Linked DNA regions of Danio rerio. The protein of the gene in region 2 interacts with the protein of the main gene of each other region in a pairwise test. Links are inferred from orthologs where the notes say so. Each region holds a gene or a part of one and is shown on either strand. Other genes may lie near its edges. The genes, in order: shcbp1 and shc1.

Evidence for each region.
Region 1: the proteins of shc1 (region 2) and shcbp1 interact in a two-hybrid assay, tested with the Homo sapiens proteins (2 studies listed by BioGRID, with this or other methods). The link is inferred for Danio rerio from reciprocal best matches to the Homo sapiens genes SHC1 and SHCBP1.

The regions. Positions count from the first base shown.
Region 1 is NC_133182.1:46,406,934-46,410,767, forward strand, and holds the end of shcbp1 (SHC SH2 domain-binding protein 1), read right to left. Parts: intron 1,537-3,834; coding exon 1,193-1,536; 3' UTR 708-1,192; downstream 1-707. UniProt on the Homo sapiens protein: May play a role in signaling pathways governing cellular proliferation, cell growth and differentiation. May be a component of a novel signaling pathway downstream of Shc. Acts as a positive regulator of FGF signaling in neural progenitor cells.
Region 2 is NC_133191.1:24,101,607-24,105,440, reverse strand, and holds part of shc1 (SHC-transforming protein 1), read left to right. Parts: intron 1-1,572; coding exon 1,573-1,630; intron 1,631-1,957; coding exon 1,958-2,074; intron 2,075-3,761; coding exon 3,762-3,834. UniProt on the Homo sapiens protein: Signaling adapter that couples activated growth factor receptors to signaling pathways. Participates in a signaling cascade initiated by activated KIT and KITLG/SCF.

The DNA.
Region 1 (3,834 bases), on a different chromosome or scaffold from region 2:
AAAAAAAAAAAAAAAAAATTATATATATATATATATATATATATATATATATATATATATATATATATATATATATATATATATATATATATATATATATATATATACTTCAATTCTACTTAAAGACTTTGACCTATAGTAAGAAAATTACCGTCAATAACTCTTTTAGACAAAAATAGGCATTCGCTGTACAAACCGGTTGCCATTTTTGGACAGCAGTTTAATGTGACCACTGGACAATAACAATGCTGAAACTGACATGATACAAGAGAATGGATAATTTGACAAATAATTAACATTCTTTAATTGTTCCCCATCTAATTTCCTGCAATTAATTTGCATTGTTATATTTTATATTAATGTTCTTAAAAATAAATTATGCTTTAGTAGTTCTCTCCCTGTCCTCTCATGACATTAGTCTCACAGCAGTTGTTTGGCAAACACAGGTCAAGTTGCAGCTCATTAAAGGAAAAGTTAGAGCTCTTCTTTTTCTTTAATTTACAGAACAACATGCAGGATTATGGAATTAAACAAATGTCTTCATTGTAATGTTGTTTATCTTTAATTTTCTGGGAATTAAGCAAAATTATTATTTTTTAATTAATGAAAAGTCAAATTTGTGTGACAAAAGGAACCCCAACGCACCGCACAAGCAGTAACTCTCTTAATCTGCCATGCTTCTTTAACAAAACTACATTACACTGCCATTTAGAACAATAAAGCATCTTTATTACTTCAAAAAATAAAAAATAAATAAAGACAATCAAGGGGGAAAGGTCCAAAGGACTTTGTAGGGACCAGAAATATTTGTGTGCTTATTAGTGACTGTATGAACCATTAAATTAATGTGTGGACAAAGCATAAACTGTATGAACCCTGAAGAAAAACAAACAAACTATTTGTGTCTATGAACATGCTTGTTCTGAAGTAGAACATGGTGTGAACAGAAAATGTAAACACTCTTTTGGTGTAATTATGTGTCCTTGTATTTTAGTGTTCAAAATAGTTTTAAAAAAGACAAATATTAAAAATAGAATGTTTAAAAGGCTAGAAATGTTAGCGCGTTTAATTCATCTTTCATTACATTCACACAGTAGTTAATACTAGCTCAAAGTAAACGAAGCAAAATTGGGGAATTACACAATAAATAATTAAAGGGTAAAGTGTGTGTGCAGGCCTGCATTGAGATGCTTCAGTAATGGAAGGTACCAAAGCTTCCCTTTCCATTGTGCTTAAATTGATTTCCATGAATGGAAATGAACATTTCCTGTGAGAGTAGATTCTCATCAGCCTGCATGTCACCTAATGCTTTCATCCGGCTCTTCTGACGTCCAAGTTTTCTGGCCGAGGTGGCAACTAACTCTTGTTTGATGGCATCATTTCCTTCACAGTCTGGAGGAATTGTGCAGCTATATTTGATGGATGGGCATTCTTCCTCTACCACAATGATGGGAACATTAACCCCAACATCATCATCGTCGTTCATATCTGCATCTGGTTTTACTCCCATGTCTTCATATACTTCCTCTTTCTCATCTGATAAAACACAAAAGAAACAACAGCGTTAAGAACAGATATGGTTTTGAAATTATTTGTTTTGTGTTGTTGTTGTTTTATCTAAAAAATTAAACCTCAAAAAGAAACTATAAACTATAAAAGATGCAATTTTAAAAATAGCTACAGGTTCTCAGCTTTCTTCAAAATATTACTTAATACATACTTTTGATTTGATCAGAAGAGCCTCATGAAGGTTTGAAACCTAAAACCTAAATAGGGAGAGTAAATAAGGAGTATATTTTCATTTTTGGATGAACTTACTCTTTAATTGCTCCCAAAACTTGTATCATTTATCTGTTTAATTAAAAAAAAAAAAAGCTTAAAACTGGTAGTCCCCCACTACGGTACCCATAGTAGGGATAAAATATTGCGGATATCAATAGTTAAAGCTGATGTCTTAAAATGTCTTCAAATGAAAACATCAAAATGAAAAAAAAAATCAAATAAGTTTTTGAACAAGTGGATGGTGAGTAAATGATGGGTAAACTTTCCCTGTAATCTCTTTTAAAACCTTTGTGATAATGTACGAGTTTGGAGAATAGAGTGGAAACCTTGTTTCTGGCCTTTATTCTCCCTCAGGTTAAAGCATCATTCACACAGCCAGCAACTTTGTAGCGATGTTTCGGCCTGGGTGGTGATAGAAGTCGCTAATGGGCATTCCCTCCTTGAGATTGCTTATATAACATTTATGAATGAGACGGCGCATGAGTTTTGTAAGACTAACTATAATTTTAATTTCTTGTGCTCTGTCATTGCAGCTATTTATCTGCATTAGAGTACAGTGCAGAGAATACAAACAGCTAGTAAGAAAATGGATCACTTGAGCTATCCTCAAAAATGCTCTTCATTTGCATAAAGTTTAACGTCTTGTCGCTAAACACACCTACACCCAGTCGCTATCACTCATGTAGTTGGAGATCGTCAGAAGTCACCAGCTCTCCATTGAAATGAATAGTCACTTGTTGCTTTGTAACTGCGAGCTGCTGGTAGAGTAAATGAGGCTAAAGCCAAATGTCAAATTCTTTGCCTTTTCCCTGATTAAAAAGCTGAATTTCCATGACCTATGATGAACAGAAATACAGAGAGCTGTTCTATTGAGCACTGATCAGACGAAACCAACCACACAGAGTATTTTAACAGGAGCACACCTTGGAAGCAGTGCTAATAAGCTTAGGGTTTCAGTTTCTCATTCCCAATGGAGGCATGCAACTCGCACGATGCTCATATGTGGGCGATGCGCATGTGTTGTGCAACTGGTACACACGTGAACCACGTTCATTTTCCAGCTGTAGAATGCCCTGAGCGCACCGCAATTAATGAAAGTAGAACTTGCCAATGTCCTTCACGCTTTGTATGGAATATACGCATTTCAGGAATAACGGCAGACTAATCACCTCAGACAAACACAGTGCATCCAAACATTGCAACAGTTTTTTTTTTTTTCTACATAAACTTGTGTCGGAGCTGCAGCAATGGTTTGTCCGTTTGTCATCCTCTAAAAAAATAATTGATGGTCATCTAGTAACGAGAGATGCCAGGGGATTGTGAGCGCCTAGTCTATTGTAAATGTTCAAGATATTCACGCGTACGCGCTTGTCACTTCAACAACAAATGAGAAATTGAGTACCGTAAAGCAGCAGTGAGGAGATTGTAAAAAAAAAAAAAAAAAAAAAAAAAAGGATGTAAAGATGTTGCCAGAGTGGCTTTTTGGTTTCTTTTCTTGTGCATCCTAGCCACGAACACCCCATATGAAAGATTTTTTAGCATAGTGCATAAACATTTTATCTATCAAGTTTAAGAGTCTCTTTAACACTGATGTTTATTTTATTATGAAGAGATGAGATATTTTGTTTAAATATTTTTGTTTTTGACTATTAAAACTATTTAACTTAGTAATGTTGGTAAATTAAAAAAAGAGGCTAAAAAAAATGTATTATAATATTCCTAAACGTATAGTTCAAATAAATAATATACTGATAATTATATCATTATTTAAAATAATTATCGATATTGAACTATATGAAACATGCTACTGTGAACATTTTTTTGCAATATTCCCCAGCCCTGCACAATATTAATTTTTGAGAATATTCATTAAATTCATGTATGGAAAGTAGGCAACACAGATAGACACATGACAAAAACACTCTCTCATTCAGCATTCCAGCAGGAAGCAACAGGAATGGTTGTAGTCATTCAGAAAATGATAGGGTACAATAAAAGGATGTGTTGAAACATGTAGGACTCTCCCATAAATGAGGGGTTTTTGCACTAAAA
Region 2 (3,834 bases):
AAAAATATCGAATTGATTTTTACACATTTAACCTCTTTGTGGTTCTATTAAAATGTCATCCTCAACGTCTTATGATTGCTTTGCTGGTCCAGTGTGTTCTTATTTGTTGGCCTCCTTTTGCACATTGAAGGAAACGTTTCGCCAGTAACTAACTAACTAACAAACTAGCTAGCTAGCTAATTAACCTAAACTAAAGTGTTACTAAAAAGAAATCACAATCAATGACCTTGTTAAAGGGATTGTTCAACCAAAATTGTACATTCATTCATTAATTTTCTTTTCAGCTTAGTCCCTTTATTATTCTGGGGTCGCCACAGCAGAATGAACAGCCAACTTATCCAGCACATGTTTTAGGCAGCTAATGTTCTTTCAGCTGCAACCCATCTCTGGGAAACATCCATACATACTCATACTCTATGGACAATTTAGCCTATCCAATTCACCTGTACCGCATGTCTTTGGACTGTGGGGGAACATGCAAACTCCACACAGAAACGTCAACTGACCCAGCCGAGGCTCGAACCAGCGACTTTCTTGCTGTGAGGTGACAGCACTACCTACTGCGCCACTGCTTTACTCTTTTTGGTAGGGAAATGTCCTTAAGCTGGGATTCGAACTCGGGACGACCTGACATGCTACAGCACCATATGTCGACACACTAACCACTAGGCTATTCTGCCGTCCTAAAATTGTACATTTTAATAAAATACACAGAGAAAAAAATATTGTTGCAAACTATTTATATGGGTTGAATTTAAACAAACAAATTGAATGTAGTAATGTTTAATTTGATTATTTTATTTGTTTGTTAAAATTCAGACCAAATGAATTGTTTGCAACCACTTACCTTAAAAAAAATTGTATAAGTAAAGTCAATGAATATTTTATTCAGTGTATTACCTCACCCTCAAGTCGTTTCAGGCATTTATTTGAGTACAAAAGAAGATATTTTGAAAAATATTAATAACTTGTAACTATTGACTTCCATAGTAGAAAAAGCAAATACTATGGAAATCAATGGTAGCAGGTTTTCAACATTTTTCAAAATATATTTCTTTTGTGTTCAACAGAAGAAAGAAAGAGGTTTGGGACATGTGAATAATGAGTAAAGGATGACATAATTTTGTCTTGGTTGAACTATCCCTTTAAGACCCAGAGGATAGAACATACATACATTCAACAGTTTATAAATGTAATCTTGTTGTATTACTGTCTTAATACATTAAACATTATCAAAATAATAGATTTAGGAAATTAAATTTAGCATATTACAGCCATATATTCAAGGTGTACCGAGTTTAATTAAATCAAATATTAGTAAAAATATGTTCATTTGTTGTTTGAACATACTGAAATCAGTGTTGATGGCTCTTAAAAGTCTAAAAATGCCCCAAATTATTCCCAAACTAGAAACTAAAACTCAACTTACTTAAACTTTGGCTTCCAAAGAGAGACTTCAGGGTACAAGAAGCATGATTCAGTGTATAAAAATGAATTAAATTGCTTTGTTCATTCATGAAACACCCACACTGAATAAATATGTCACCATCCCACTGCACTGTATCTCCACAGCCCTATGGACAGCCGAGCCAGAACGACATTCACAAGCAGCCTCTTCCTCCACTACCAGGTCAGATTTACACACAACAATAATCCCTGTCCTAGTCATTTCATGCTGCCACACAGTATTTGTCTGTCATATAGTCACACTTCTCCTGCTTTAATTCCCCTGTCGGCCGAGACTGTCATTGTGCAGAGTGAGTCAGCGCTTTTTCTGCTACTGTTCGTTGCTCTTTGTTGGACGCTGCCCAAATCTATTACACAGCTCCTTTGAGAGGTGCCTTCTGGATCAGCGGCATTGCTGACAATAGAACGGCACCGCTTAAGTGCACTCACCTGAAGGTTAACTCACTTTAACTTCACCTTTGTTTTTCTTTTGTGTTCTTTTTTTCTTTAGTGGGTGTTAAGGATGGAGGCTTGTTTGACGACCCCTCATACGTTAATGTGGATAAACCCCGCCTCCCAGCATCAGCAGCAGCCAATGGAAATGCTCATAGAGACGCGTTTGACATGAGTGAGTGATGGATGCTTGGTGACTTTTTGTAATATTTTAATGATTTATTTATTGTGCAGGGTTCCCGATCAGGTCAGTGGTTCAGATTTTTACTTGCCCTGCCAAAATTTTCACTGGCTCCACCAAAAAAAAAAAAGTTATTGGCTATTTCTTAGCCACATATTTTAAATAATGTGTTAAAAGCCAAACATAATTGTATACATACATTTTTTATTCAGCAGGACATATATATGTCTATATAGGATATATATATATATATATATATATATATATATATATATATATATATATATATATATATAAAAACGAGAAGTGCCATGAGATTTTTAATGACCTCAGAGAGTGAGGACTTCAGTTTAACGTCTCATCCCAAAGACAGCGCTCACTTCACTGTGTTCACACCAGACGAGGAAAGCGTGGATATATTGTGCTATTCGCGTGTAAATAGACGCATGAACATTTGAGTTTACTTGCTGTTTTCGTGCGTCAAAATCGCTTCTTTCACGCATCAAACCCTGCTTAATTCGCGCATCAAATCCGATTCATTAGCGCGTCAAATCTGATTCATCCGCTTGAAAATCACTTCAGAACAGACGCTAATTCACGTGGTGGGCAGGGCTTCTGTCTGCCCGGTGACTGTAGCTTCATTGCTAAATGTCTAACATAGATTTTATTGAGAAAATAACAGTGTTTATGTGCTTTATGAAGGCTGAAAAACAGCGTTGATACGTTTGGAGCAGTTCACTAGATCCTTTCAGAGGTGCACCCAGCTCTGTGAGCTCATAAACTCCTCTAGAAACTTAAACTAGATGATGGAAGCATTTAGCGGTGCTTCTGACTGAGCCAAGCCCAGTTGATGAACTGTTGTTGGTGTAGACAGGGAATTTTCCCCCGGGACACCAACAACAGGCGCTACGTCATAATCACGTCCACACAAGAGCAAGCTCCTGATTGGTAAACGCGGCACGAATGTCCGCTGAAGTTTAGATTTTTGAACTTGAATGATTCATGCGAAAAGCGAGTCAAACGCGCAAAACATTCAATTTGCGCCGTGCCATTCACATGTATTGAGTCATTTGCTTCGCACCATGCCATTCATGCATATCACGGTGCAGGATGTCTATTCACGCCTTTGCCTTGACTTAACATGTAAATCATTCCCACTTGATGCTTCTTCCATGTCTGGTGTGAACACAGCATAAAAGTATAGTGTCCCCTTAACTTCACAGGGGCATTAGGGTTGAGTGCCCCCTGCTGCTAGTAACAGTATTAATTTGTTGAAGCCATGTTATACTAAAAAAAACAAGCAGACAAAAACTTGTGAAACAAATTTGACAAATTCTTTGTAACAATGAAAAAATCTTCATTGTCTGTTTTGTTTGTTTTTTATCGTATTGACCCCACATTTTTGTACAGGTTTCTATCATTTTACAAAACCAAACATTCAATAAAAACCATAAAGCATAATTTAATGAATAAAGTATGGACCTAATAAATTTTACGCTTGATGATAGCTTATTTACAATTGAATGTGGTAAAGCAGGGTAGTATGCTGTGTTTTTTCCTATTTTGAAAACAATACTTTGGTTTACTATACTTAGTAAATTAGTTCAGTAATACTGCAGATGTAGATTCACAGAGTAAAAATGCTCCAACCATCCAGTGATGCTCTGCTTTCTTTCTTCAGAACCGTTTGATGCAGCGCTCGTTGTGTCGGGTGCAGTGGCACTTCCTCTGGCAGAGCAGCTGCAGAACGAGCC